Linked DNA regions of Saccharomyces cerevisiae S288C. The gene in region 1 interacts genetically with each later gene. Each region holds a gene or a part of one and is shown in the gene's direction. Other genes may lie near its edges. The genes, in order: RIO1, CEP3 and SMC3.

Evidence for each region.
Region 2: mutations in RIO1 (region 1) and CEP3 together harm fitness more than expected from each alone (negative genetic interaction), as found in Saccharomyces cerevisiae (2 studies listed by BioGRID).
Region 3: mutations in RIO1 (region 1) and SMC3 together harm fitness more than expected from each alone (negative genetic interaction), as found in Saccharomyces cerevisiae (one study listed by BioGRID).

Annotation. Positions count from the first base shown.
Region 1 is NC_001147.6:546,981-552,718, reverse strand, and holds RIO1 (protein kinase RIO1), read left to right. Parts: upstream 1-2,472; coding exon 2,473-3,927; downstream 3,928-5,738. Other genes in the region: PFY1 (profilin), read left to right, coding at 54-421; glycerol 2-dehydrogenase (NADP(+)) GCY1, read right to left, coding at 667-1,605; RTC5 (Rtc5p), read right to left, coding at 4,159-5,738. UniProt on the Saccharomyces cerevisiae protein: Required for the final endonucleolytic cleavage at site D converting 20S pre-rRNA into the mature 18S rRNA. Required for the final steps of cytoplasmic maturation of the 40S ribosomal subunit.
Region 2 is NC_001145.3:596,832-607,918, reverse strand, and holds CEP3 (Cep3p), read left to right. Parts: upstream 1-8,760; coding exon 8,761-10,587; downstream 10,588-11,087. Other genes in the region: HOT1 (Hot1p), read right to left, coding at 1-1,938; EAR1 (Ear1p), read left to right, coding at 2,399-4,051; aldehyde dehydrogenase (NAD(+)) ALD2, read left to right, coding at 4,837-6,357; aldehyde dehydrogenase (NAD(+)) ALD3, read left to right, coding at 7,047-8,567; mismatch repair ATPase MLH1, read right to left, coding at 10,724-11,087. UniProt on the Saccharomyces cerevisiae protein: Acts as a component of the centromere DNA-binding protein complex CBF3, which is essential for chromosome segregation and movement of centromeres along microtubules. CBF3 is required for the recruitment of other kinetochore complexes to CEN DNA.
Region 3 is NC_001142.9:295,783-308,696, reverse strand, and holds SMC3 (cohesin subunit SMC3), read left to right. Parts: upstream 1-5,847; coding exon 5,848-9,540; downstream 9,541-12,914. Other genes in the region: YJL070C (metallo-dependent hydrolase superfamily protein), read left to right, coding at 1-726; ARG2 (acetyl-CoA:L-glutamate N-acetyltransferase), read right to left, coding at 841-2,565; DNA replication protein PSF2, read left to right, coding at 2,835-3,476; JEM1 (Jem1p), read right to left, coding at 3,579-5,516; APQ13 (Apq13p), read left to right, coding at 9,821-10,237; NET1 (Net1p), read right to left, coding at 9,883-12,914. UniProt on the Saccharomyces cerevisiae protein: Involved in chromosome cohesion during cell cycle and in DNA repair. Central component of cohesin complex. The cohesin complex is required for the cohesion of sister chromatids after DNA replication.

The DNA of each region.
Region 1 (5,738 bases):
ATGAAATTTCAAACATGAATTTCTTTCCGTTTTTTTCTCCTACTTTTAAACAGCATACACTGATAACTTAATAGGAACCGGTAAAGTCGACAAAGCTGTCATCTACTCGAGAGCAGGTGACGCTGTTTGGGCTACTTCTGGTGGCCTATCTTTGCAACCAAACGAAATTGGTGAAATTGTTCAAGGCTTCGACAATCCAGCTGGTTTGCAAAGCAATGGTTTGCATATTCAAGGCCAAAAGTTCATGTTGTTGAGAGCTGACGATAGAAGTATCTACGGTAGACATGATGCTGAGGGTGTTGTTTGTGTAAGAACTAAGCAAACCGTTATTATTGCTCATTATCCACCAACCGTACAAGCCGGTGAGGCCACCAAGATTGTCGAGCAATTGGCTGACTACTTGATTGGTGTTCAATACTAATTTATGCAGGTAAAGTTTTCTTGCCTTATACACCACCTATTCTGGCATCTGCGGGATTTCGCTTCCTATTTTACAAATATTTTATTGATTGACGCTAATTATCACTGTAAAAGGCGCACTTTTTATATGTAGTCACATCCGGTATTTAACATATTTACGAAACAGTCTTAAGAATATCGACATTTGATATACTTATGTTTAATTTATCTACATATTACAATCATACGAGAAACACGCAAAAACAATTACTTGAATACTTCGAAAGGAGACCAATTTGGATGTACAACCCTTTTTTCGCCCTTTTCCTTCGATATGTTATTGATAGCTTCAAAGTCCTCAGTAGACAAAGTAAATATTTTCCTGTTCGTTTTGATTCGATCGGGATTCACAGATTTTGGCAAGACAACATAACCTCTTTGGACGTGCCAGCTAATAACAACGTGTCCGGGTTGAACGTTATTTTTCTTCGCAATTTCAAGGATAACCGGTTCCTTCAATAGTGGAGCATCGGTACTACCTAACGGAGAATAAGCTTCAACCACAATGCCTTTACTTTTACAAAAATTAATCAATTCGTCTTGAGGTAGTAATGGATGTATTTCGACTTGGTTAGCAGCTGGCGTAAGCTTATTACCTTGAGATGCTAATAGATCTTTCAGGTTATTTATAGAAAAGTTGGAGACTCCAACGGCCTTAGTTTTACCAGTCTTTGGTAGTTCCTGCATTAATTCCCAGGTTTTGATGAAATTCCAATTGGTGATATCCACTGCACGAGAACCATCCTTCTTTGTTGGCACACTCAAGATGTCTTCATTTTTGATGTAGGCTGGATCTAATCTGGCAGGCCAATGCATCAAATATAAGTCTACGTAGTCCAATCCTAACCTCTTTAGTGATTGATCCAGCGCTACTTCAGGTTCGTGGTGTTGTGTACACCATAACTTTGTAGTAACAAAGATTTCTTCCCGAGGAACACCTGAATCCTTGATGGCTTGACCGACTTGGTCTTCATTACGGTAAATAGCAGCAGTATCAATGTGTCGGTAGCCATCTTTCAAAGCGGTTAAAACAGCCTTATAAGCATCGTTCTCTTTCGACTGCCACGTACCTAAACCTATTTGAGGGATTTGGGCTCCAGTATTTAGAGAAAGGATTTTCGTAGAATCATGTAAAGTAGCAGGCATTTTTCTATCTTAATTTAGTAATGAGAGCTGTCCAAATTTTAGCTTGCTAAGATGCACCTATTAAGCTCTCATCCTGAATCAAGTCATTAGAATGTCTTGATTCTCCCGGTTTTATACGCCCAGTAAAGCAATTCTTTACTGCCGTAGTCTTTTCCTGAAAGCTCGGTTTCTACTCTAGGGAATTAAGGAGAGCAGCGGTGTGCGATTCGTCACACGGGTGAATGCCTGATAGGCATATTATTAAGCCGTGTTTGCAATCTGCGTGCTAGATTGATTCTACCCCTTTCTGAGAAGGCGAAATGACCTTGCTATGACAATGAGGGAGAAAAGACCGCCCTTCCTTGTTCTTCCCCGGAATAGTCTGCCCCGATTGTTCGCCGGTGTTATAACTTACAATTCTTATACACTCCATAGGAAGTTTGTTGACAAGAGTTAAGTTTCAAATATCTAAAGCCAGGAAGTATGATCACCCAAGCATATCCATTGCAATATGTAAGACATTCAAGCGGATTTCTGGGACTTTAGAAAGTGAAATTTAAAAAAAAAAAAATTTAACAGAGGTCATACTTCCAAAAAAAAAAAAATGTAGAACTGGGCGAAATATCATCAGCTCATTCACTCTAATGCGGCCCTTCTGTAACCTCGAGCAAAGAGCCCAAATAACTTCATCTCTTCTCTCTTACGAACTGAAATATTCTCATGTTACCTATTGAGTAGTTGCGGGGACATTGGCGCGCGCAGAAAGAGTGAAAAATTTTATAGTGGAATATAGAAATTGAGATGAGATGAGATACTAAGACTAAAAATAATAGTAAAAAGAAGTTAAAACAGATTTAGAGATTCAAACTCCGTTATTTTTAGAAGGTCATGTCCTTGGAAGATAAATTTGATTCATTGTCTGTGTCGCAAGGTGCCTCGGACCATATTAATAATCAGCTCTTAGAGAAGTATAGTCACAAAATAAAAACTGATGAATTATCATTCAGCAGAGCGAAAACATCAAAGGATAAAGCAAATAGGGCGACTGTGGAAAATGTCTTAGATCCGAGAACTATGAGATTTTTGAAGTCTATGGTCACCAGAGGTGTGATTGCAGATTTGAACGGTTGCTTAAGTACTGGGAAAGAAGCTAATGTTTACCACGCTTTTGCAGGTACCGGTAAGGCACCCGTAATAGATGAGGAAACAGGCCAGTATGAAGTTTTAGAGACAGACGGATCCCGTGCAGAATATGCCATTAAGATTTATAAGACCTCTATCCTAGTCTTCAAAGATCGTGAAAGATATGTTGATGGTGAATTTAGATTTAGAAATTCCAGATCTCAACATAATCCAAGGAAAATGATTAAAATTTGGGCTGAAAAGGAATTTAGGAACCTGAAAAGAATTTATCAAAGTGGCGTCATTCCAGCTCCTAAGCCAATAGAAGTTAAGAACAACGTCTTAGTTATGGAATTTTTAAGCCGAGGTAATGGATTTGCCTCACCTAAATTAAAAGATTATCCGTACAAGAATCGTGATGAAATTTTCCATTATTATCACACAATGGTGGCATATATGAGATTGCTGTACCAAGTTTGTCGCCTGGTTCATGCCGATTTGTCAGAGTATAACACCATAGTTCATGATGATAAACTATATATGATCGATGTTTCCCAAAGTGTGGAACCTGAACATCCAATGAGTTTAGATTTTTTAAGGATGGATATCAAAAACGTTAACCTTTATTTCGAGAAGATGGGTATAAGTATTTTCCCTGAAAGGGTTATTTTTCAATTTGTCATATCAGAAACTTTGGAGAAATTTAAAGGTGATTATAACAATATTAGCGCCTTGGTTGCATACATTGCTAGTAATCTACCAATAAAATCTACAGAACAAGATGAGGCAGAAGATGAAATATTCAGATCGCTGCATTTAGTTAGATCATTGGGTGGATTAGAGGAAAGAGATTTTGATAGGTATACTGATGGTAAGTTTGACTTACTGAAAAGCTTGATTGCCCATGATAATGAACGCAATTTTGCTGCTTCTGAGCAATTTGAATTTGATAACGCTGACCACGAATGTAGTTCTGGCACAGAGGAATTCTCAGATGATGAAGAAGACGGCTCAAGCGGATCTGAAGAAGATGACGAGGAGGAGGGCGAGTACTATGACGATGATGAACCAAAAGTTTTAAAGGGGAAGAAACATGAGGACAAGGATTTAAAAAAATTGCGCAAGCAGGAAGCTAAAGATGCAAAAAGAGAAAAAAGGAAAACAAAAGTCAAGAAGCACATCAAGAAAAAATTGGTGAAAAAAACGAAATCAAAGAAATAATGCGGCCCTGTGAAAATACATTTGGGAATCGTTGTTTGGAGTCGAAGAACAGAAAGTAGGTCAGCAATTTAACGAAGAAAGTTCAAGACTAAAAGTGTAATATCAGTATCAAAAGTTTGGTACTTTTCATACAAGTGCAATAAATATTAAAATAAACAATAGCCTTATTTAGTGGTCTTGATTTTTAGTGAAATCAATCCCAATAACTAAAAACAGCAAAAAAGGCAGGCATCACATTGAACCGCCACCTTGATGTTGGCCAACTAAACCTGCCATTTCCAGTAAGGCACGGTCTTCTCCCAAGCTTCTCAGGTTAATTTGCTGTCTTCTTTTAGATTCTGCTTCTTCCCATTCCAACTGTTTGATTTGCTCTTCTAGTTCTTTCTCACCACCACAGCCCCATACCTCAACATCTTGAATCAAAAAATGCAATTCATAAGGGGAATTTTCCTCCTTTCTTTCCATCGACAATAAACCAGGGTCTAATGAACCTCCGTAACCAGTATTTCTAAACACAGCAAATTCTAATGTGCTGTCAAAAGTAAGCGACACGTTCCCTGGTATGTATCTCTTGGATGCTGGTTTTATTAATGGTTGTTTATCCCCGATTCCAATTCCGCCACCAATTGTATTGAAATAGATCGTGCCTTTTTGGTTGACTTTATAAATATCCTGCCTGGGTGATATTTCTATTATTCTCGTATTCAGATCGCCAAAATAATCTTTATTTGTTACTTTCCACGGATCGTCTATGTACACAGCGAAAGTAGTTTTCCTTTTATTCAAATGCGATGCATCCATCATTTGATCTGACTCTTTCAATTTAGGAAATTCTTCAAGAAAATGGCGGTATCTTGGATTCTTCTCAGCTGCGTATTCTTCAGAATTTGTTATCCTCATTCCGCTAACAACTAAAATCGAAGGCGCCATCCATTTGAACACCTTTGCTTGCAAAGACCTCATTGAGAAGCCACTTTTCCTGCCGATGTATAAACTTTGTAGCTTATGAATAAATAATTCCTTTGGTAGTCCCGTCGATAACTGTGCCAACAGTGCTGGAGTCATAACTTTAGAATCCTGAATAGACGATAAGTTTGTGTCATGATCAACTAAATCGTGCTGCAAATAAAAAAAATGCTCCATTAAATTCTCTAATGGTTTTAATAGATTGGGCATTACAGTTCTTATTGCAGTTGAAAATTGTTGAAACGTTATGGAATGTGATTCTATATCGCCCACCACGTCTGGATTCATAGTTCTAAGGAGATTGAGTGCTGAGACTTTGAAATTGCCCCATTGATCATGAGTCTCTGTATTATCCAATTTAGAATTGGTGGTTGGACAATCAACTGTTAAAATTAAAAGCCAAGTTAAAAACTGAAGCATAAAATCAGCAGGAATGCACAGCATTTCTGTATCAACATCATCAAACCCAGTTATTATTTGTTTTATAGTCAACTCCTTGTTTCCGTCGTTTTCACTTTCTTCGGAGAGTTCTTCTTTGTCAGTTTTCTGAAGTGATAAAGAGATAAACAGCAGTTTTAGTTGATCATAGGACTTGGTTTTCAAGAATTTGGCACATCGTGCCCTGTTTAACAACAAAATGCATTTTAATAACCCATATCCCGTAATTGGTTCGTAAGATGATTTCATTAATGGGAAGTTGCTCAAAACCCTCAACATGTTAGTCACTATCCCAACAATCATGGCATGATTCTGCGGAAAATAAAGTGAGTTGCATAAAGCTTTGTGAGAAATTGGAGTGTTTAGATCTTCAATTTGCAAATTTCCCTTAAAACTGACTAATTCTG
Region 2 (11,087 bases), on another chromosome or scaffold:
AAGATGCTTGATCGATGGCTTTCCTCTTATTCCAGTATCATACTCTTCCCATATAGTCTTTACGTCAGTGGGAGCCTTCAATATCCTATAATGTAAATCAGAGTTTATGTTGGGCTTAGTAGCCGACTCGCCGTGAAGCTTTCTTCTACCGTTTAAAGAGTTACTTTTTTTATGATGCAAGCTCCTCCTCCGCTTGTTAATCGAAGCGTTCTTCATATCTGTTTCGATTTCATCATCTACTTCATCTTCCTCAGCAGTGCTGTCTTCTTCATTATCCCTTCCATCACCTTCGTCATCACCGTCATCATCATCATCCTCTTGATAGCCATCATCGTCGACATTACTTTTCACTGTCATTGGTTTTGGGTACGACGGTAGAGTAGAAGCTCTGTTTCTATTTACAATATTCGTGTTCACCCCTGACTTACCACTCGGTAACAATTCAGATGTCGTGCTATCCTGATTGATCAATTGGGAAAATGATAGAGGCTGCTGGGTATTATTTATAATAGGGGGTATAACATTTTGATTTGGGGGAAAAGAAGCGTTATCTAGGGCTAAGCTGGGCAAACTTAAAGCTGTTGTCGTGCCAAAGTTATTCAATGAATTTAAGTCATGAAATGAATTTGAAGCACTGGTGACGCCTGAATGAATGGAAGAATTGGTATAATTCATGCTAGTTGTAGAATTATGAGAATTCGTTAATGGAGATAGGGCTGATATGGGCTTTTGTGCAGCACTAGCATGGTCATTTGTGCTCGCATTGTTGTTACTTTGCGTATTTCTTCTGCGCCGTTTAATCCCATTTGGGTTCAACTTGAATGGCTTGTCAGTTGAAGCGTTCGGGAAACTAATAGGCGAGCGATTTACCTGCTGATGTGTATTTGTGTTATGAATTAAAACCTGCGACTGGTTCTGATTGGCTTGTGTGTTTATAACAGGACCAAGTTGTCGGTTAGGGAGCGATTGGTTTATATTTTGGGAAACATTATTTCGATTATGCTGCTGATCAGGTAAGATAGTATTTAGTGCGTTAGAAAATTGGTTGTTTAGCTGTGCAGTATTCGTATTCACATCTATGGTTCCATTCGTAGTCCGATGCTGGTTGATACCAGAATGGGTGTTGGAATCTCCTGTACATAAATCAGCAGTATGCTGTCTACCAGAGCCATTATTCTGCATTTTCTGCAAGTAAGCACTACTAACGGCTGATATCGAATTTAGCAATTCGATAGCAAGCTTATTTTGGGCATTGTTTGTGCTTGGGCGCGCGCTTGGCTGCGCAACCAACTTAAGTAATATATTCAATTTGTTCATAACTTTATAGTTATCTTGTTTTAGGTTTAAAACCATTGTATTCTGTTCCGCGATCTTATTAGATAACTTGTTGAAGCTTTCCTCCATCTCAATCATTCGGGCACTCATTTCGTCCATTCTTTGAAAAATCTTCAACTGATCCGTCGATATTTCGTTCGACGGTGAATCATTAGTCAAGGATTGGCTTAACATACGCCCTGTACCCGCCGTTGTCGAGTTCGAAGCGGAAACATTCGAGTTCACCCGCTCTTCATTACTCAGTTTTTCACCAATAGTTTCTGTTGGTTGACTGGTACCTGTGGGTGCTGAAATCGCTGCTGAAGTCCTCAAAAGACCTCCATCTAGTGCATTTCCATCGTTGCGAAGTGTACTGGCGTTACTGCCACTGGCGCTCTCTGAACCAGTCGTAGGCGAAATGTGAGTGGGCAGTGAGAGGTCAAGATTGATACCTATAGCATCTTCATTTACTTGACTATTCATCCTGTACCCATCCTTTAATGTAGTGGGCATCATTAAGAATAAGAAGAAAGGGCTCATCAGTGTAGAATAATCGAAGCTGATGGTTATCCTATAAATCTTTGTACGTACGATGCAAAGAATCGCAATACCCATTCCAGACATTATGCTCCAGCCATATGTACCCTAAATATAATCTTTTTTGTATATAAAAAACCTAAAAAAGAGATAACTAAACCTAGCTCAATATTTAATTTGACCTAACCCTCCGTCGGCCCTTTTTTTTTATTTTTTTCTTCGGAACGGTGCGCTATAAAGAAAAAAGGCAAATTCCAGGTTATCCATATAAACGCCATAACAAAATTTCATTGATACAGGCTTTAAGAACCTTGCTCTATTTACTACTGCTCTTTCTTCCTCTCTCAGGTTGAGCTATTTTTGAGAATAGCGCTTTACTGCTGCATGGAGGAGTGATTTTTTATAGAACATTGAAAAACCAAAGGACTGGTGCCTAACTACAAAATTTTCAAGAGTTGTTTCAAGTTATCTATATTGTCATTGGTTAATAATTATAAAAAATCTTAAAGTTTGGAGAGCCAAATTTTTTTTCTATATAAAAAAGCAAATGTCATTCAAGTTTCTGATAGAATCGCTGCTTCTCGGTTCGATAAGCGGACAAATACGGTGTGGTAGATCTTCGGTGATCCCCCGTGGCGATGTATCTTATGGGGGAGACGATACTGACGAACTTAACATGGATATAATGTTGTTTGCGTTTGGAACCTTAATCGTGGTCTACATCGTCATCTGTATCGTTTATTTTTTTACAAAACAGATAGCTACGCGGCTTATAACTGCATATTATAATGAGCATGGCCCTGGCCAAAGAATATCTTTATTCAGCGATTATGACGAAAATAATGCACACGTTCATAGCAGAAGATTAATGGAAAACATGAGTTTAAGGTGGCCCAACAATCTTGACGATGCTGATGAAGTAAGAGATAAGCTGGCACAGTTGTCACCTGAAGAGCAGTTTTATTATAAGCAAGGTGAGGAGTATATCAAGCAGAACCCACCATTTCTGCTTAACCAGGGACTTTTACAACAGTCCGAAGATAGCAATCCAGACACCACCCGTGAAGACCCTATTATGAACGAGCAAACAAGGCAATATATTCAAGAAGAGGGGGCTTATGCATGGGAGTTTAGCCCAAATCCTGATATGCCAAACCATACTGTCATAGTGGAAAATAAAACAGAGGTTTCTTTTCTAAATTATAATTATGATGCTTCTATATCCACAAATCTACCCATTCCGTGTATAAATAAAGTATATTATTGTGAATTCAAGATATTTGAAACGGATGGCCCACTAAACAGTGATGAAAATGTATCGAAAGGTGTCATCTCATTTGGTCTTTCCACACAGCCTTATCCATATTTCAGGTTACCGGGAAGACACCACCATTCGATAGCATACGATTCTAACGGCGCCAGAAGATTTAATGACTCCTTCAAACTAAATGAGCAATTAAGAACGTTATTTCCACAGTGTGAAAAGGGAGACATTGTTGGCATTGGCTATAGGTCACGTAGTGGAACAGTATTTTTCACCAGGAACGGAAAAAAACTAAATGAAAAATCTGTTGGTGGTCATATCCGCGGCTGGAAATTCCAATACCTATACCCGATCATTGGCTCCAACGTACCTTGTCAAATTCATGTGAATTTCGGCACTTATGGCTTTGTTTATATAGAAGCAAACGTTAAAAAATGGGGATACGCAAAGTCAAACGGCATTAAATTACCTCCTCCTTCTTACGAAGACTACGGTAAAGATACCCTATTAGAAAGCGGTGGTGAAGACAATGATTTCGACGAAGATTTTTCAGACGGTGATAGCGACAATATTGCGGCTGGTAGTACTACAAATCTCAATGATGATATAATTATAAGAAACGGTGAAATATTACCGCCACCACCTGGATTTGAATTCACTATGTCCCCTCCCACTGGAAAGAAGATCATCAATGAGGAAATTAATCTAGATTCCTTACCTATGCTACCACCAAGTTACTCGGACGATGAACATCATTCGAAAAATGATAAATCAGCAATAAGCGGACGAATTATTGGAACGAGCAGAAATTTAATTACTGATGAAGCATCTTTCGATAGTGTTGATAATGATAACGAAGATGAAAATGATCACGAGAGAGATCCCGAACAATTTTCAGAATTTGATGATTACGAAAGCAGGATGCATGGCATATAATACGAAAATGCATGAGATAGTAAGGCTGAAACACTAGCCCCGGTCAGTTATCTTTTTTTGCGCTGTATTACGCAGAGCCACCATTTTTTAAAAACATTGCAATTTATAACGTTTTCTTCCTTATTGAGGGTTTCAACGCTATCACCTACTCGATATCGCAGTGCAGCATATAGATATTTACATACATATATACATATGTTTACGTACACTAGTAAGGGCAACTGGTTGACCCGCAAACTTCCTTCTTACTTTCCGTACTTTTGCCATCTTTACTTGCACCTCCGTGCTACCTCTTAATGTGTCACAAGAAGAACGTATGAAGTATTTGTCAGCGCTTCAGACATCAGCATGGGTTGCAAATGCGTGAGATTAAAATGAAGCGTTCCAGCTCGAAAGAAAATTTGCTTATCTTTCCCTTCTATCATTTTTTTTTTCTCGTTTTTTATTTTGCATTGCCTTATCTTTTGCCGCCAGAAGAAACAAGGTTGCCATTATCGTGCCATGCGTTTACTTGCTAACGCCCTATGATGTTCCCGGCGGCTTTTGGATACTAATAATAGCAATCATATACCCTTTATTGGTTACTCCTATCCAATGATGAGTTTTTTTAACTCGTTTAAACATTAGGGATGCAATCTTGTCGACACTCACTGATCATATCCCGAATTTTGCTCAAGAATGTTCATATAAAGGGAGCGAATCCTTAAAAATACTTTTGGCCCATTCCTATCATTTTTACATTGCATGTCCATCAAAAACAATCGTGAAAATAAGCCAAAAGAAAAATGCCTACCTTGTATACTGATATCGAAATCCCACAATTGAAAATCTCTTTAAAGCAACCGCTAGGGTTGTTTATCAACAATGAGTTTTGTCCATCATCAGATGGAAAGACCATCGAAACTGTGAACCCAGCTACTGGCGAACCGATAACATCCTTCCAAGCAGCTAACGAAAAGGATGTAGACAAAGCTGTGAAAGCTGCCAGGGCTGCTTTTGATAACGTTTGGTCGAAGACATCTTCTGAGCAACGTGGTATTTATCTTTCAAACTTATTAAAACTTATTGAGGAGGAGCAAGACACACTTGCCGCATTAGAGACTTTAGACGCTGGAAAGCCTTACCATTCAAATGCCAAAGGTGATTTGGCACAAATTTTACAGCTTACCAGATATTTTGCTGGGTCCGCTGATAAGTTTGACAAAGGTGCAACCATACCATTGACTTTTAACAAGTTTGCATATACTCTAAAAGTTCCTTTTGGCGTTGTTGCTCAAATCGTTCCATGGAATTATCCTCTAGCTATGGCTTGTTGGAAATTGCAAGGTGCCTTAGCAGCCGGTAACACGGTTATCATCAAACCTGCTGAGAATACCTCTCTATCTCTACTTTATTTTGCTACTTTAATTAAAAAAGCAGGTTTTCCACCTGGTGTTGTCAATATCGTTCCTGGTTATGGATCACTTGTAGGCCAAGCCCTAGCATCTCACATGGATATCGACAAAATATCTTTTACGGGAAGCACCAAGGTCGGTGGATTTGTGTTGGAAGCTTCCGGCCAATCGAACCTTAAAGACGTTACACTAGAATGCGGTGGTAAGTCTCCTGCTCTCGTATTTGAAGATGCAGACCTTGATAAGGCTATCGATTGGATAGCAGCTGGCATTTTCTACAATTCAGGACAGAATTGTACCGCAAACTCAAGAGTTTATGTTCAAAGTTCGATCTACGACAAGTTTGTTGAAAAGTTTAAAGAAACTGCAAAGAAGGAGTGGGATGTTGCAGGAAAATTTGATCCGTTTGATGAGAAATGCATCGTTGGTCCAGTTATATCAAGTACACAGTATGACCGCATCAAAAGTTACATAGAACGTGGTAAAAGGGAGGAAAAGTTGGACATGTTCCAGACCTCTGAATTTCCTATTGGTGGAGCTAAAGGCTACTTCATTCCCCCAACCATCTTCACTGATGTCCCGCAAACATCGAAACTGTTACAGGATGAGATATTTGGCCCGGTTGTGGTTGTTAGCAAGTTCACAAATTATGATGACGCTCTGAAGCTGGCTAATGATACTTGCTACGGGCTCGCCTCTGCGGTCTTCACAAAAGATGTCAAGAAAGCGCACATGTTTGCTCGCGATATTAAAGCAGGAACTGTTTGGATCAACTCATCTAACGATGAAGATGTTACCGTTCCTTTTGGCGGGTTTAAAATGAGTGGTATTGGTAGAGAACTGGGGCAAAGTGGTGTTGATACCTATCTTCAAACAAAAGCAGTTCACATAAATCTCTCTTTGGACAACTAATGTGATAGTTATCATTATGTAAGTGCGTAAGTACCTAAATAGCTTAGCCTGACGACGGATGAATATGTTGACAGTCTAGCAAACAGTAGTAGTCCACTACTCGATATAAAACTGTAAGCACCATTATTTCAGCATGCGGAACAATTGTTGTTACTAGGTCCTAGAAATCCCTTAAGATGGTAAAAAAATAGAGCTATAAACTCAGTGAGATTTATTTTTGTGTCAAGAAATTATACTTGCGTGTTAGTTTTCTCTATTCCCACCATTACGTAGATCTTCCGTCTTTTTTTTTTCTTTTTCTGCATATGACGTCTGTTCTTCCTTCCCCCCCTGGAGTACAAGGAAAGTATCACTATTAGAACTCTACAGTACCTTTCTTCCACGCCCTTTAGTGCATTTAGGGATTTTCATTACTGCTAATCCAAGACTTGAACCGGATTGTTGATCAGCCCCCTTCTTAAGCTGATTGCTAAACTCCCTAAGGGTTAAGGAATTAGTAAGTTTAGGGAGGAGACAGGGAGATTGTTCAAACGAATAGCGTAGATTTAACTGATCATACCTCAGAAACTAATTGTATAAAATGGCAAATCTGGATGGGAATAAATTTGACTCATGCCAGGTAATTATACCTTGGACTTGTATCATAGAGATATAGATTATACACATTTAGAAAATTAGCCAAAAGAAAAATGCCTACCTTGTATACTGATATCGAAATCCCACAATTGAAAATCTCTTTAAAGCAACCGCTAGGGTTGTTTATCAACAATGAGTTTTGTCCATCATCAGATGGAAAGACCATCGAAACTGTGAACCCAGCTACTGGCGAACCGATAACATCCTTCCAAGCAGCTAACGAAAAGGATGTAGACAAAGCTGTGAAAGCTGCCAGGGCTGCTTTTGATAACGTTTGGTCGAAGACATCTTCTGAGCAACGTGGTATTTATCTTTCAAACTTATTAAAACTTATTGAGGAGGAGCAAGACACACTTGCCGCATTAGAGACTTTAGACGCTGGTAAGCCTTTCCATTCCAATGCTAAACAAGACTTAGCCCAGATTATAGAACTTACAAGATACTATGCGGGGGCGGTCGACAAGTTCAATATGGGTGAAACCATTCCATTGACTTTTAACAAGTTTGCATATACTCTAAAAGTTCCTTTTGGCGTTGTTGCTCAAATCGTTCCATGGAATTATCCTCTAGCTATGGCTTGTAGAAAAATGCAAGGTGCCTTAGCGGCCGGTAACACGGTTATCATCAAACCTGCTGAAAATACCTCTCTATCTCTACTTTATTTTGCTACTTTAATTAAAAAAGCAGGTTTTCCACCTGGTGTTGTCAATGTCATTCCTGGTTATGGTTCCGTTGTGGGGAAAGCTTTAGGAACCCACATGGATATCGACAAAATATCTTTTACGGGAAGTACTAAGGTTGGCGGCTCAGTATTGGAAGCTTCCGGCCAATCGAACCTTAAGGATATCACACTAGAATGCGGTGGTAAGTCTCCTGCTCTTGTATTTGAAGATGCAGACCTTGATAAGGCTATAGAATGGGTAGCAAATGGTATTTTTTTTAATTCGGGACAGATCTGCACTGCAAACTCAAGAGTTTATGTTCAAAGTTCGATCTACGACAAGTTTGTTGAAAAGTTTAAAGAAACTGCAAAGAAGGAGTGGGATGTTGCAGGAAAATTTGATCCGTTTGATGAGAAATGCATCGTTGGTCCAGTTATATCAAGTACACAGTATGACCGCATCAAAAGTTACATAGAACGTGGTAAAAAGGAGGAAAAGTTGGACATGTTCCAGACCTCTGAATTTCCTATTGGTGGAGCTAAAGGCTACTTCATTCCCCCAACCATCTTCACTGATGTACCAGAAACATCTAAGTTGCTGCGTGATGAAATATTTGGCCCGGTTGTGGTTGTTAGCAAGTTCACAAATTATGATGACGCTCTGAAGCTGGCTAATGATACTTGCTACGGGCTCGCCTCTGCGGTCTTCACCAAAGATGTCAAGAAAGCGCACATGTTTGCTCGCGATATTAAAGCAGGAACTGTTTGGATCAATCAAACCAATCAAGAAGAAGCTAAAGTTCCTTTTGGCGGATTTAAGATGAGTGGTATTGGTAGAGAATCAGGCGACACCGGCGTTGATAACTATTTACAAATAAAATCAGTCCATGTGGATCTTTCATTGGATAAATAATTCGTTACATAGTTATATAAATGTTTACATGAGATTCAAAGCTTCATATTCTATGAAATCTTTATTTTTTACGGCTTTAAATGAAGTGCGCGCAGCCATGTAAGCTAAGCGTAAGAGAATGAAATATTATAACCAACCTTCAGAGAGCAGGTGATGACAAAAGTTACGAACACGAGTTTGCATCCTAATAATAATGTTTAACCGTACCACTCAACTGAAATCCAAGCATCCCTGTTCCGTGTGTACGAGGCGAAAAGTCAAATGTGATCGTATGATACCGTGTGGAAACTGCAGGAAGAGAGGACAGGACTCCGAATGTATGAAATCAACAAAACTAATAACGGCTTCATCTTCCAAGGAATATCTCCCTGACCTATTGTTATTCTGGCAAAATTATGAATATTGGATAACGAATATTGGGCTGTACAAAACAAAACAAAGAGATCTTACTAGAACACCAGCTAATTTGGATACTGATACTGAAGAATGTATGTTTTGGATGAATTATCTTCAAAAAGACCAATCATTCCAATTGATGAACTTTGCTATGGAAAACTTAGGTGCTTTGTATTTTGGTTCCATTGGAGATATCAGTGAATTATATTTGAGGGTGGAACAGTACTGGGATAGAAGGGCAGACAAGAATCACAGTGTAGACGGCAAATACTGGGACGCACTAATATGGTCTGTCTTTACCATGTGCATTTATTATATGCCAGTCGAGAAGTTAGCAGAAATATTTTCAGTATATCCTCTCCATGAATATTTGGGTAGCAACAAAAGGCTCAATTGGGAAGATGGTATGCAATTAGTCATGTGCCAAAATTTTGCACGCTGCTCATTATTCCAATTGAAACAATGTGATTTCATGGCGCATCCCGATATAAGGCTCGTTCAAGCATATCTGATTTTAGCCACTACAACTTTCCCCTACGATGAACCGTTGTTGGCAAATTCGCTCCTAACACAGTGCATCCATACCTTTAAAAATTTTCATGTGGATGACTTTAGACCTTTACTTAATGATGACCCCGTTGAAAGCATCGCTAAAGTAACCTTGGGAAGAATATTCTATCGCCTGTGTGGATGCGATTATCTTCAATCGGGGCCACGCAAACCAATTGCACTTCATACAGAAGTATCCTCCCTATTACAACATGCAGCATATTTGCAGGATTTGCCTAACGTTGATGTTTACAGGGAAGAAAACAGCACAGAGGTCTTGTATTGGAAAATCATCTCATTAGACAGAGATTTAGATCAATACTTGAACAAGAGTTCTAAACCTCCCTTAAAAACATTGGATGCTATAAGGAGGGAGCTCGATATTTTTCAATACAAAGTAGATTCGTTGGAAGAAGATTTTAGATCAAATAACAGCAGATTTCAAAAATTTATTGCACTTTTTCAAATATCTACTGTTTCCTGGAAATTGTTTAAGATGTATCTCATTTATTATGATACCGCAGATTCACTACTAAAGGTTATACATTATTCTAAGGTAATCATTAGTCTTATTGTTAATAACTTCCATGCAAAAAGTGAGTTTTTCAACAGACATCCGATGGTGATGCAAACCATTACGCGCGTGGTCTCTTTCATCTCCTTTTACCAAATTTTTGTGGAATCGGCTGCTGTCAAACAACTTTTAGTAGATCTAACTGAACTTACTGCAAATCTGCCCACAATATTCGGTTCAAAACTAGATAAACTAGTTTACTTGACCGAAAGGCTCAGTAAATTAAAACTTTTATGGGACAAGGTACAGCTTCTAGATTCAGGTGATTCGTTTTACCATCCTGTTTTCAAAATACTACAAAATGATATTAAGATAATTGAGTTGAAAAATGATGAAATGTTTTCTCTCATAAAAGGACTCGGGTCTTTGGTACCGTTGAATAAGCTTAGACAAGAATCGTTGCTTGAGGAAGAGGACGAAAACAATACGGAACCAAGTGACTTCAGAACTATTGTAGAAGAGTTTCAATCCGAATATAACATTTCTGACATACTTTCCTAACTGCAACCATATTTCATATCCTTTGAAATCTCGCGGATGAATCGTTAAAGGAAAGGGCATACACTTTCAAATGAAACACAATCACACTCAGGAAATAAACAAAAAACTTTGGTATTACAGCCAAAACGTTTTAAAGTTAACACCTCTCAAAAACTTTGTATAGATCTGGAAGGTTGGCTATTTCCACGACATCCTTGAGAATGTGTCTAGGGGCCAGGAACCTTCGTTTGATACAAGGGAAGAGAACGTGTTCTAGTAATGAGGATATGTGTTCCTTTCTATTTATAAACTGGGCTTTTTCGTCTTCTGACAACGATGCATCAGATGTATCGACTTTCGGAACCATATCAGGTATATAGAGTAATGCAATCTCTCTTAAAATACCATCTAGACACTCTTGTTCATCCTCCCAATCAACTTCTTTACCCAGGCGATATATAAAAAATGGTAACTTGACCAGAGATGGAATGTAGCCTTTTAAAAGTAGTGGTAGAGATTTT
Region 3 (12,914 bases), on another chromosome or scaffold:
ACTTCCCAATTTGGAGTGGATTTATATTTTACAGATCAAGTTGAATCGTTAGTGTGCAACTTACTGCTTTGTAATGGTGGTCTGCTACAGGTAGAACCGCTTTGGGATACTGCAACAATGATTCAATATTTATTTTATCTCTTTCAAATACCCATTTTAGCTGCGCCATTATCATCTGTTTCATTACTGAATTCGCAAAAATCGACCTTTTTGAAGAATAAAAACGTGCTTCTAGAACATGATTATTTGAAAGACCAGGAAACAGCCAAAATCAATCCTTCTAGAGATATCACTGTGGGCGAACAAAGATCATATGAGACAAATCCTTTCATGAAAATGTTTAAGATGGGACTAAAAATTTCTTTATCATCAAAATCGATTCTTTACAATAGTTCATACACGCTAGAACCTCTCATTGAAGAATACAGTGTAGCAGCAAGTATTTACTTGCTGAACCCAACAGATTTGTGCGAGTTGTCGAGAACAAGTGTGCTATCTAGTGGCTATGAAGGTTGGTACAAGGCTCATTGGATTGGCGTTGGAGTTAAAAAGGCGCCTTACTTTGAGGAGAACGTGGGTGGGATAGATAATTGGTACGATACAGCGAAAGATACCTCGATAAAGCACAACGTTCCGATGATTAGAAGAAGATATAGAAAGGAGACATTGGATCAAGAGTGGAACTTCGTTCGGGATCACTTTGGAGTAATTAACTCCATTTGGTAGGGTAAAGTGAAATATCAACAACTTTGCATAGTAAGATATATATATTTATATAGATACCTTAAAAACTGAAAATGAAAACTTGAAAGTTAAGGAGGAGGAGAATGCGTCTTTGTTTCATGAAATATTTTTTTCATTTTCCCAACTTGGCTTGATGTCCCTGACAGACCTCATGAATTCTCTTAAACGTTTCTTGTCACGTAGTGCCCTCTTAGCGTATTGAGGGTTACCGTAGTAAAATAGTTTAAATTGGCTTTGCTTTTCATCACAGTGTTCGGGGTCTAAGTCAATCGACAAATCTAGCACAGCAACGCTACGTTGAAAATACCACTTGTTCACCACATTGTCTTTTCTGCTTCTCCAAAGTATCTCATTAGGAAATTTTTTGAACATCAAATTGAAGATTATATCAGATATACCCAGCGAGCCTTTCAAGTGTGGTAGAACGGCGAACTTATCGAGATAAACAAAGGAATTTTCCTCCGAGCCTTCATAGGTAAGAATTGCAATGCCTTCATAATCACCTATCACAATAATTGTAGCTATTTTTCCATTAATCCTTTTTATGTAGTCATGCAAATCCAAAGATCTTTTAAAGCTCTGATCGATGATGGATTTAAATTTGTTGATATCTAGTTTTGGACTATTGCTCGAGGGTTTTGCTCCTTTCTCAGGTACGTGAAACTTCTTTGGAAGCCCAATTGAGTTGAATTGAGTCAGCGTCTTATAGTCATAAGTTTTGATATGGACGCCCTTTTTGAGAACAGTTGTCACTAAAACTGCATCTGAGTTAGAAGGAGCTGCATTTACCTGTTGGGAAGGCAATTCATACCATGCGTGATCATCAAACATGTTGGCTGGTGAGTCTATCTCGCCGTCCTTTTTTTTAAACCTTGGTAAAGAAGAAGAAATTAGCGATCGGTCTGTCAATAAATTATATACTAAAGGATTTTTCCTATCTGATGATAGTGCGGCAGCTTTGACAGTTGTAATCAGTCCCGTTGCTGTAGCCGCTAGATTTGATAAAACTTTGTCCATCAATAACAGGTTTTCTAAATGATCATGGTATTCACATTCTAAGGAAGATATCTCATCTTTTTTAACGTACACCTCCATTCTGTGTAACAGGTTTTGGGAGCGTGGCTCTCGTTTGGTTAGAGTGCTTATATTGTGAGATAATGACGAGGACAAATGCTCGAGTTCCTGAGAAAGATTGATGAATACATGAGCGTTATCATTTCTCTCTCCCGAAGGTATACCTCCGGCATTATTTAGAATGAAGAATTTGTCAATGTGTGGAATATTCCCTTGGCACAGGCAATCCATAAATTTTACAACATCCTTTGTCATGAATTCTGAAGCAGTCTCTTCATTATACACATAAGGTTTCACAATTGGTATAAAATTGGAATTTCCAATATCAAAGAAACGACTCTCTTGCGAAAAAACAGAATGATATAACCCAGTGCGGGATTTAGTAAGACCCTCCTTAAGGTGAAGTGGCTTTAAATCTGCTTCTGTAACGATACTGTCAAGTAACTCTGCCTGTATATTTACATGAGTTGGCGACGGCGGAATTACAAACATAGGTCGCAAACCTAGCATTCCTAGTCTCTTTATGACACTTGAAAACTGGGACAAAATCGCTGGTGCGACTTTATGCAGGTCCCTGATAAAAAACAAACAATGATTATGCTGCCCACTATCATTTGTATATTTTGAGAGATAATCCTTAGCCTCTCGTTTTGTAGCGGTTGTATTCAGAACTGAAAGGATCAAGTTTTTTGAAGATGCATTGGGTTGATCATACTTGAGTTCATGCGCGAATATTCTCCTCCACATGATAAAAGTAACCGACTAGTGTCCTAGATTGACGGTCCTAGCTTCAAATGTGTTAACTTTCACAATTTATGTCGAACGTGCTTATGACTCCATGGGAAGATCAGTGATGACTAACCTTTTTTTTCTCCAGCGTGAAATTTCTTGTGATATTTTCCATTTAATGAAAAATCAGTCGCCTAAAGTGTAACTATGAAATGGTTAACAAAAAAGAGTTTTATACTTAGAGAGGATCAACGGCTGATCTGAAATAAGACTAGTTTCATAGACGCATGTCACTACCGGCACATTTGCAGCAGACTTTCTCACCAGAAGAAATACAGTTCATTGTGGAAAACGAGCCAATAAAGATTTTTCCCAGAATAACAACACGCCAAAAAATTCGTGGCGATGATAGAGGAACTGGAAACCACACCCGCTGGCAACTTATTACTACAGATGACAAAGCTTTAAATAATATGGTAGCCATGCGTTCTACAGAAGTGGTTCTTTGGATCGCTCTATTACTGAAGCAACAATCCAAGTGCAGTATTGTAGCACCACAGTGGTTAACGACGAAAGAGCTTGATAGAAAAATACAATATGAGAAAACTCATCCGGATAGGTTTAGTGAGTTGCCGTGGAACTGGCTTGTCTTGGCACGTATACTTTTCAATAAAGCTAAGGATGATTTTCATGACCCCATTCACGAATTACGTGGTAAAATACAAGACTTAAGGGAAATAAGGCAGATCAAAGTGTTAAAAGGCCTTAAGTATTTGAATGAATCTCATTTACAATTGGATAATTTAAGTCTATTAGAAATCAATGAGTTGAGGCCGTTCATTACTGAAATCATGGATAAACTGCGAGAAATTCACACAGCATCTCTTACCGCTGGTACTGAAAATGATGAAGAAGAATTCAATATTTAAAAAAGTGCTGGCTTTGCAATAATTAGAACTTTCAGTGATATGCGTATGTATATATATGTACTTGTTGTGGTATCCTAGTTAATGGGCATAGAATGTATTTCATCAAAGCCCAAAATTCATTTTAAAGCCATTTCCGAATGGGAAGCCACTTCCTGGATTTTTGAACATGTTATTTTGCCTAGGCCCCTGAGGAAAAGTGTTGCGGCGGGGGTTTGATCTGGAAAGATCGTATTCCTTCCTTTTATCGTCATCACTTAATGTTTCGTACGCTTCATTGATTTGTGACATAGTTTCGTGAATTGATTCTTGTTTGTCGTTATGGTTGGCCTTTATTTTGTCTGGGTGGTATTTTTTGGTTAAATTTAAATATGCTTTCCTTATTTCTTTCGAACTAGCACTAGGCGATACTCCAAGAATTTTATAATAGTCCTTTTTTGGGTCGTAGTTAGGCGCTGCTGGGGGTGCTTGATGTCGTTGGTGTTGTTGCTGCTGTTGTTGTTGTTGGAAATATTGCTGGTTGAAATTCCGATGTTTATGCTCTTTATAGGTTTGTAATTGTTTCTGTAATAATCGGAAGTTCTTCATCACGTATGGATTGGTCGACTCTGAGAGGCCGTTATCTTGGAAAAATTTGTTTATCTGGTCATATAATTGCTTTTTGAACTGTGAATGAGGTTTAGACCTACTTTTATTAAGTATTGAGTTTACCATATACATCAGCAAATGAGGATTGGAATTCCATACATCACTCAATACCGTCTCAGGTAAAGGTTTTTGCTCGGACTTAGCATCCTGATAGTGTTTCCATGTTTCTAGTGTTAGTGAATGCCTCAAACTCTTTTTACAGAACGGCGCAGCCAGTTTAGCTCTCTTGACGTCCGGACTCATGCTAGAAGCCTGACAAAGAATGGAATCAATGTATACTAGATAATCGGTATGATAGTATGATTTTGGTTTGACAAAACCATCGGTTATTGGGGGATCTTCGAATAAATTTTTTGCCAAAGGTCTCGACAGTTGAACGTCTTCTATCAATTGTTTGATAATTTCCTCTAAAAAGAAGTAGTTGTTTTTAAAGTTTGTATCTTTGTTAAGAATTTTCATTGGTGTAATAAATGGCTTCTTATCCTTCAAATAAAATTCAATAATTCTATCCCAACTTCTAAACTTTTTGTTCTCAAATGCATATGTTGCTGGATCCAGGATCTGTCTTTTTGATGGATTCACCTTGTTCAATTTGGAAATAGTCAGGCTTAGTTTTTTACATTTATCATAGTCCATATCAATGGAAAGGCATTTTCTTATATTGAACGACGCATCTGAGTTAAGTACAAAGGTCTGTAAAACAGATATGACATAATGAATCGAAAGTCTTGTATCTATGCTTAAGCTAGCCAAATGCTTGTCGAGGATTGTTTCGTAATCCAAAATGATAGCAGCAGCTAACGAAACGTCAATTTCTTCAGCTAGTTTGTGAAAAAGAACATCGATGTGCGTGGAGAGGACGTTAACATCGTACGGCGTTATGCGTAGCAGCTCAGAAATATCTTCCTCCACAGAAACGTCTTTGGATGATATTTTGTTTCTGATGGTTTCATTCAAGGACAGATATTTCGCATACTGATCATCCTTCTGATGCACCTTGTCCCACATCCCAAAATCGACATACAGCTCTTGTAGCCTCTTTTCCGCCAGCTTCCCAAAAGAACCTTTGTAAGTTTCATTAAAAACGATTTTTTCAAATGTGTTAATAGCTCTTAGATGTTGATCGTTGGATAATTGGATCAGCCCAATTTTGTAGTATATTTGATTGGCTAGTTGAATTACGTCTGACATATTTTCACTTGCTGGATCCGCAGTCATGCAGTTTTGTTCCAACTGCCCAGCGATCCATTGGTATTTTGGCAAGGATTCAGTGTCTACTTTTAAATTCTTGTTCAATCGTTGTAACTCAGCCAAATCACATAACTTAGAAGCCGATATCAGTACTGGCAAAATAACGCTATACACTAAAAGACAGTATCCCGAGATCAGTATCATACTTCGTTTCGTAGACGTTAAGATCGGCCTTAGTAATACACTAAACCAACAATGAATGAAACCTTCTGGGCCCTTCTCGCAACCAACTCCTTTCACTTGGAATAACTTATAAGCAGTTTTGGCTCTATTTTTGCCTGCCATCGAAGTGTACACCTGTCACATTTCACTATTAGGAACCTAAAGAAAAAAAGTCTCAGGAATAGGAAAAGACGCGACGCGTTAGGAAATGATTAAACTAATTAAAGATGAGTTTTCAACCTCATCTTTAAACAGTTTCACCATTTTTTTACAAGACGACCTGCTGGAGTAACGGTAATAGTTCACGTCTGCAATGTATATCAAAAGGGTGATAATTAAGGGTTTTAAAACCTACAGGAACGAAACCATTATTGATAATTTCTCGCCGCATCAGAATGTTATTATTGGCTCCAATGGTTCAGGTAAATCGAATTTCTTCGCTGCGATTAGATTTGTTCTTAGTGACGATTACTCTAATCTTAAGAGGGAAGAAAGGCAAGGGCTTATCCACCAAGGTTCTGGTGGTTCAGTGATGAGTGCCTCGGTAGAAATTGTGTTCCACGATCCAGATCATTCTATGATATTGCCCTCCGGTGTACTTTCGAGAGGAGATGACGAAGTGACCATTAGAAGAACAGTAGGGCTGAAGAAGGATGACTATCAATTAAATGACAGAAACGTGACCAAAGGGGACATAGTCAGAATGTTGGAAACCGCTGGTTTTTCAATGAATAATCCGTATAATATAGTACCACAAGGTAAAATAGTCGCCTTAACTAATGCCAAGGATAAGGAAAGATTGCAGTTATTGGAAGATGTTGTAGGAGCTAAGTCATTTGAAGTAAAATTGAAAGCTTCATTGAAAAAAATGGAGGAAACAGAGCAGAAAAAGATTCAAATTAACAAGGAAATGGGTGAACTAAACTCTAAATTGAGTGAAATGGAACAGGAACGTAAGGAATTAGAGAAATACAACGAGTTGGAACGCAACAGAAAGATCTACCAGTTCACATTGTATGATCGAGAATTAAATGAGGTTATCAATCAAATGGAAAGACTGGACGGTGATTATAATAACACGGTATACTCTTCCGAACAATACATCCAGGAGTTGGATAAAAGAGAGGATATGATTGACCAAGTCTCCAAAAAGCTATCAAGTATTGAAGCTTCACTGAAGATCAAAAATGCGACTGATTTACAACAGGCAAAACTACGGGAATCTGAGATTTCTCAGAAATTAACAAACGTCAACGTAAAAATAAAGGATGTTCAACAGCAAATTGAGTCAAATGAGGAGCAGAGAAATTTGGATAGTGCAACTTTGAAAGAGATCAAATCTATAATTGAGCAAAGGAAACAAAAGTTGTCTAAAATTTTACCTAGATATCAAGAACTCACAAAGGAAGAAGCAATGTACAAACTTCAATTGGCCTCCTTGCAACAAAAGCAGAGAGATCTTATCTTAAAGAAAGGAGAATATGCCCGTTTTAAATCAAAGGATGAACGCGATACGTGGATTCATTCAGAAATTGAAGAACTGAAATCTTCAATACAAAACTTAAATGAACTGGAAAGTCAATTGCAAATGGATCGTACTTCTTTAAGGAAGCAGTACTCTGCGATTGATGAAGAGATTGAAGAGCTAATTGATTCTATCAATGGACCAGATACCAAGGGTCAATTAGAAGATTTTGATTCGGAATTAATACACCTCAAACAGAAGCTGAGTGAAAGTTTAGACACTCGTAAGGAATTGTGGAGAAAGGAGCAAAAATTACAGACAGTCTTGGAAACTTTATTAAGTGACGTCAATCAAAATCAAAGAAATGTTAATGAAACCATGAGTAGATCATTGGCAAATGGTATAATAAATGTGAAAGAAATTACAGAAAAACTAAAAATATCACCGGAATCTGTCTTTGGGACATTAGGTGAACTGATTAAAGTCAATGATAAGTACAAGACATGTGCTGAAGTAATTGGAGGTAACTCCCTCTTCCACATTGTCGTGGATACCGAAGAAACGGCCACTTTGATTATGAACGAACTATATCGTATGAAGGGTGGGAGAGTGACGTTTATTCCCTTGAACAGGTTATCTTTGGACAGTGATGTTAAATTCCCCTCAAACACTACTACACAAATCCAGTTTACTCCCTTGATAAAGAAGATAAAATATGAACCCAGGTTTGAGAAGGCTGTCAAACACGTTTTTGGAAAAACTATTGTTGTCAAAGACTTAGGTCAAGGTTTAAAATTAGCTAAGAAACACAAACTCAATGCCATCACTTTAGATGGTGATAGAGCAGACAAAAGAGGTGTACTTACAGGTGGGTATCTTGACCAGCACAAACGAACACGTTTGGAATCATTGAAAAACTTAAATGAATCAAGAAGTCAACACAAAAAAATACTGGAAGAATTAGATTTCGTAAGAAATGAACTAAATGATATTGATACTAAGATTGATCAAGTAAACGGGAATATAAGAAAGGTTTCTAATGACAGGGAGTCTGTCTTAACAAATATCGAGGTATATAGAACATCGCTAAACACCAAAAAGAATGAAAAATTAATTCTCGAAGAATCATTAAACGCAATTATACTAAAACTAGAAAAGCTGAATACAAATCGTACATTTGCTCAGGAAAAGCTAAATACATTCGAAAATGATTTGCTTCAGGAGTTTGATAGCGAACTCTCAAAAGAAGAAAAGGAAAGATTAGAATCTTTAACAAAGGAGATTAGTGCAGCGCACAATAAGCTAAATATTACATCAGACGCCCTAGAAGGTATAACTACAACCATTGACTCGTTGAATGCCGAATTGGAGTCCAAACTTATCCCACAAGAAAATGATCTAGAATCCAAGATGTCAGAAGTAGGTGACGCATTTATTTTTGGTCTACAAGATGAGTTGAAAGAATTACAATTGGAGAAGGAAAGCGTTGAAAAGCAGCATGAAAACGCTGTGTTGGAACTAGGTACCGTTCAAAGAGAAATTGAAAGTCTCATTGCTGAAGAAACTAATAATAAGAAACTGCTAGAAAAAGCAAACAATCAACAGCGATTACTATTAAAGAAGCTTGACAATTTCCAAAAAAGTGTTGAAAAAACGATGATTAAGAAAACAACTTTGGTTACTAGAAGAGAAGAATTACAGCAAAGGATTAGGGAAATTGGGCTTCTGCCAGAGGATGCTTTAGTAAATGATTTTAGCGACATCACAAGTGATCAGCTATTACAAAGACTGAATGATATGAACACAGAGATTTCTGGTTTGAAGAATGTAAACAAGAGAGCTTTTGAAAACTTCAAAAAGTTTAACGAAAGACGCAAAGACCTTGCGGAGAGAGCTTCAGAGCTGGATGAATCTAAAGACTCAATTCAAGATCTAATTGTTAAGTTAAAACAACAAAAGGTTAACGCGGTTGATTCTACTTTCCAAAAGGTTTCTGAAAACTTTGAAGCTGTTTTTGAAAGATTAGTTCCCAGAGGTACTGCTAAGTTGATTATTCACCGTAAGAATGATAACGCTAACGACCATGATGAAAGTATTGATGTTGACATGGATGCAGAATCCAATGAAAGCCAAAACGGTAAAGATAGTGAAATTATGTATACAGGTGTTTCAATTTCTGTTTCCTTCAATTCTAAACAAAACGAACAACTGCATGTTGAACAGCTCTCAGGTGGTCAGAAGACTGTATGTGCCATTGCTTTGATTCTGGCAATCCAAATGGTTGACCCTGCTTCCTTCTATCTGTTTGATGAAATTGATGCTGCACTCGACAAGCAGTATAGAACTGCAGTCGCTACACTTCTAAAAGAACTGTCAAAAAATGCCCAGTTTATTTGTACGACGTTCAGAACAGATATGTTGCAAGTTGCAGACAAATTTTTCCGTGTTAAGTACGAGAATAAGATTTCCACGGTTATTGAGGTCAATAGAGAAGAAGCAATCGGATTCATTAGAGGTAGCAATAAATTCGCTGAAGTCTAAGAGATATTTGAAACGATTTGTATATAAAAATATCAGTTTTGCTTACATAAATAGCTATTTGTATGTAATTATTACCATTGTCTCCTATATTGGAATTTTAAAAAATTTTCTTTTAAGATGATACTGTTACTAAACAATAATGTTAAATATAGTAACCAAGCTTTGATAATTCGACGTACAAAAAAGATTACTTTTCTTAAAGAAGTTGCCCGCTTGCTGGGAAAAGAGGTAAATAAGAATTGGTTTACATGAAGATTTTTTAATATATTAATACTTTTATATGCTTGATTATTTTTTTTTACTAGCTTTCTGTGACGTGTATTCTACTGAGACTTTCTGGTATCATTTTTTCTTGAAATCTTTTATTAATGATGCAAATCCACCACTTGGCTTCTTCTTCTTACCTAAAGCAGCACTAGCGGATTTCGCACTAATAAAACTTTTTCCATCATCAGATGAATCCCCTGAGTCATCAGAATCTGACTCAGATTTAGAATCTGAACTGGAATCCGATACGGAGTCCGAACTGGAGTTAGAGTCAGAATCAGAGCTAGATTCATCATCACTACTTGAAGGGGCTTTTGTTTGTGACTTCTCATTCGATTTAGAAGTTTTTTCCTTTACATCTGGGATGCCTCTTGAAACAAGATCAGATAATGAACTCAAAGAAGGACGAACTTTTCTTGGAAGGTCATGAAGTATACTAGACGGATTTGAGGTGGTCTTGGATTTAACTGACGGAGGAGACGACATGTCCATTAGCTGTGTAACTGGAATTTTATCAGGGGTGGCATTGATTTTTTTGTTAACAGATGGAGAGGGGGCTTCAATCTTAGATGAAGATCTAACTGGTTCTCTTGGTGTATTTACAACAACTCTTCTAGCCTTCCTGGATGTTGAAGTTTCCTCATCAGAAGACGAGGAAGATGAACTAGACTCGTCTTCTGTGGAAGAACCTGAGGAGCTAGAATCATCATCGTTTGCACTAGAATTATTTTTTTCATTAGAAATTATTCCAGGTGGCACGAGTGTTTTACTATTAGTAAATTTAGCCTTCAAATCCTTCAATTTATCATTTGCACTGGGCTTAGGAAGCTGAACATTGCCTTCTTTTAAGTGATCTGTCATTTTTAACTTTTTCTGAGATACCTGTTTGCTTTTGGAGTCTTCTTTTTCCTTCGAGTTATTTTTATCGTTAGCATCCTGTATATTGGCAGATGCTTTTTCTGGTTCCTTGGACCCCTCTGCTTTCTTGTTCAAGTCTTCACCTCCTATGTTTGCGCTTTTCAAATCTGCAACCCTAGAAGTTGTTTCCTTCTGCTGCCTATCAATCTGCGCAGACTCATTCTTGGCCTTCGTTTTAACATTTTTACGATTTCCTTCTTCATTGAAAGAGGTAGTTCCTTTAGTAGCAACAGAAGGAGACCCACCAACAACAGGAAAAGACGATGCTTGTGTTGCTGGCTTAGTTTCCACCTTTGTAGCTTCATTTTGCTTCTTGTTTGAATTCGGATAAAAGCTTTTCGCCATTTGTTCACTTATTTTGCTATTTGTTACTGAAGATTCACTCACGGCTGACTTTTTTTGACTATCTCTTTTGTCGTTTCTTTCTTCATCAACTTCTTTATTGATTATCTTTGAGTCTTTCACTGGAACAACACTGCCTTTCAAAGAATGTAAAGAAATGTCTTTGGGCCCATTATTAGGCACCGACATATTTTTCCTTTTAAAATCATCGTCTGATGAGAAATCTGTTTCAATCCCACTCTCTGACTCATCGTCTGTGGACGCTGCCGAACTAGAATCTTCAGTACTTTTCTGTGGGACTTCGTTTTTCTTGGCACCTGCCAATAATTGGGCAGCCCTCTTAGCCGCACTTCTTGGGGTTCGCTGGGGCAAAATATTTCTTGGATCTGGCTTAGAATTGTCTATGTCTTTATTCAAAACCGTTGTGTAAGGCTTTGAATTTTTGGAATTACCGGAAGTTCTCGAATTTTTGCCCTTAAACCATTGCGGTAGATCTGTATCATCACCTTCGATCATTTTGAAAAGATCTGACTTTGGGAAACTAGAGGAATCTGAATCTTGAGGAACAATACGAACCGTAGTATCAACTTCATCATTATCATTGCCATCGTCCTCAATGGTGCCGTTAATGATAGTGCCATCTTCCTTTGAAGCGTTGTTGTTTGAACTAACTTTCCCAGCTAGTGATTTCAACGTCCCATTAGACTTATCAGATGATGCAAGTATTGGCTGATCATTATGTGGAATTGTCGGCAAAATTTCCTTTTCTAAAAGTTTATCATTCGTATCTTCTTTTTCTCTTACCTGATTATCATCTAGGAAATTAGTCATTCTTTTCGGTTCCACAATACCGGAAGGTTCCGCCTGAGATTTCTTTTCCACTATAGTTTCCAGTGAACTCTTTCTTGGTGGTTGATGTTCTTGTTGCTTTCCCCAGGATTCGCCATTTGAAGATTTGGTGATCGAGGTATTGCTTGCCTTGGGAAGTTCTGCTAAATGCACATTGTGTGGCATGGCATCACCGAGAGGACTATTTTTCACCGGAGAGCCATTATTATCTGCGATGGAGCTTTGACTACGTTGCAAGGAAGCCTTTGAATGTGGTTCTGTTTCAGGAGTTTCTTGGTTTTCGCTACTTGAGCTATCGTCGGATTCGTAGTTCTCGCCATTTTCCAAGTAAGGTTTTTTCATTGGAATCTTTGCAGCTTTAGCGGGTAAAATGGAGGCCGGACTGGAAGGTCCCTCTTTTAACTCTTTTTCAATCTCTGAGATTCTTGGCTCGGGGATTTTCAACATTCCTGATGTTATTCTTGGAGTGGTTACGGGTGGTTTCCTATTAATGTCCTGAGCAGTGACAGCAGCTGTGCCACCATTAGCAAATGAAGAGGAAGAAGCTGAAGCAGAGAAAACCAATTCGTTTTTATGTGCGTGTTCAGAAACCACTCTCTGACCGGTAAGAGTAACTCTGTTTGGAGTCATGGTGGACATTATAGGAGTTCCGGACAATAGACGTTGCTGCTTTGTTTTATCTGGATCCACGGTTGCTGATCTGGACACGATATCTTCCTCGACGATGCTTGATTTTATTTTTTTACCTGCGTCAATGCCCGAACTAATTCTTATGGGAGGTGACTGAGGCTGCGTTGGAGGCGGCAAAAAGGATCTTTCACCAATGTCTTCGTCTTCGTCATCTGAGTTGTTGGAGACGATCTTCGAAGAAGGTGGAGGATAAATTTGCCTAGCCAATGGGGTAGAAACCCTCATGGATCCATTAGTGGCACTACGAATGGTTGTTGTTGTCGTGGTTCCTGTAGGTGGCCTCTTCTTGGCAATCCGAAGAACACCTG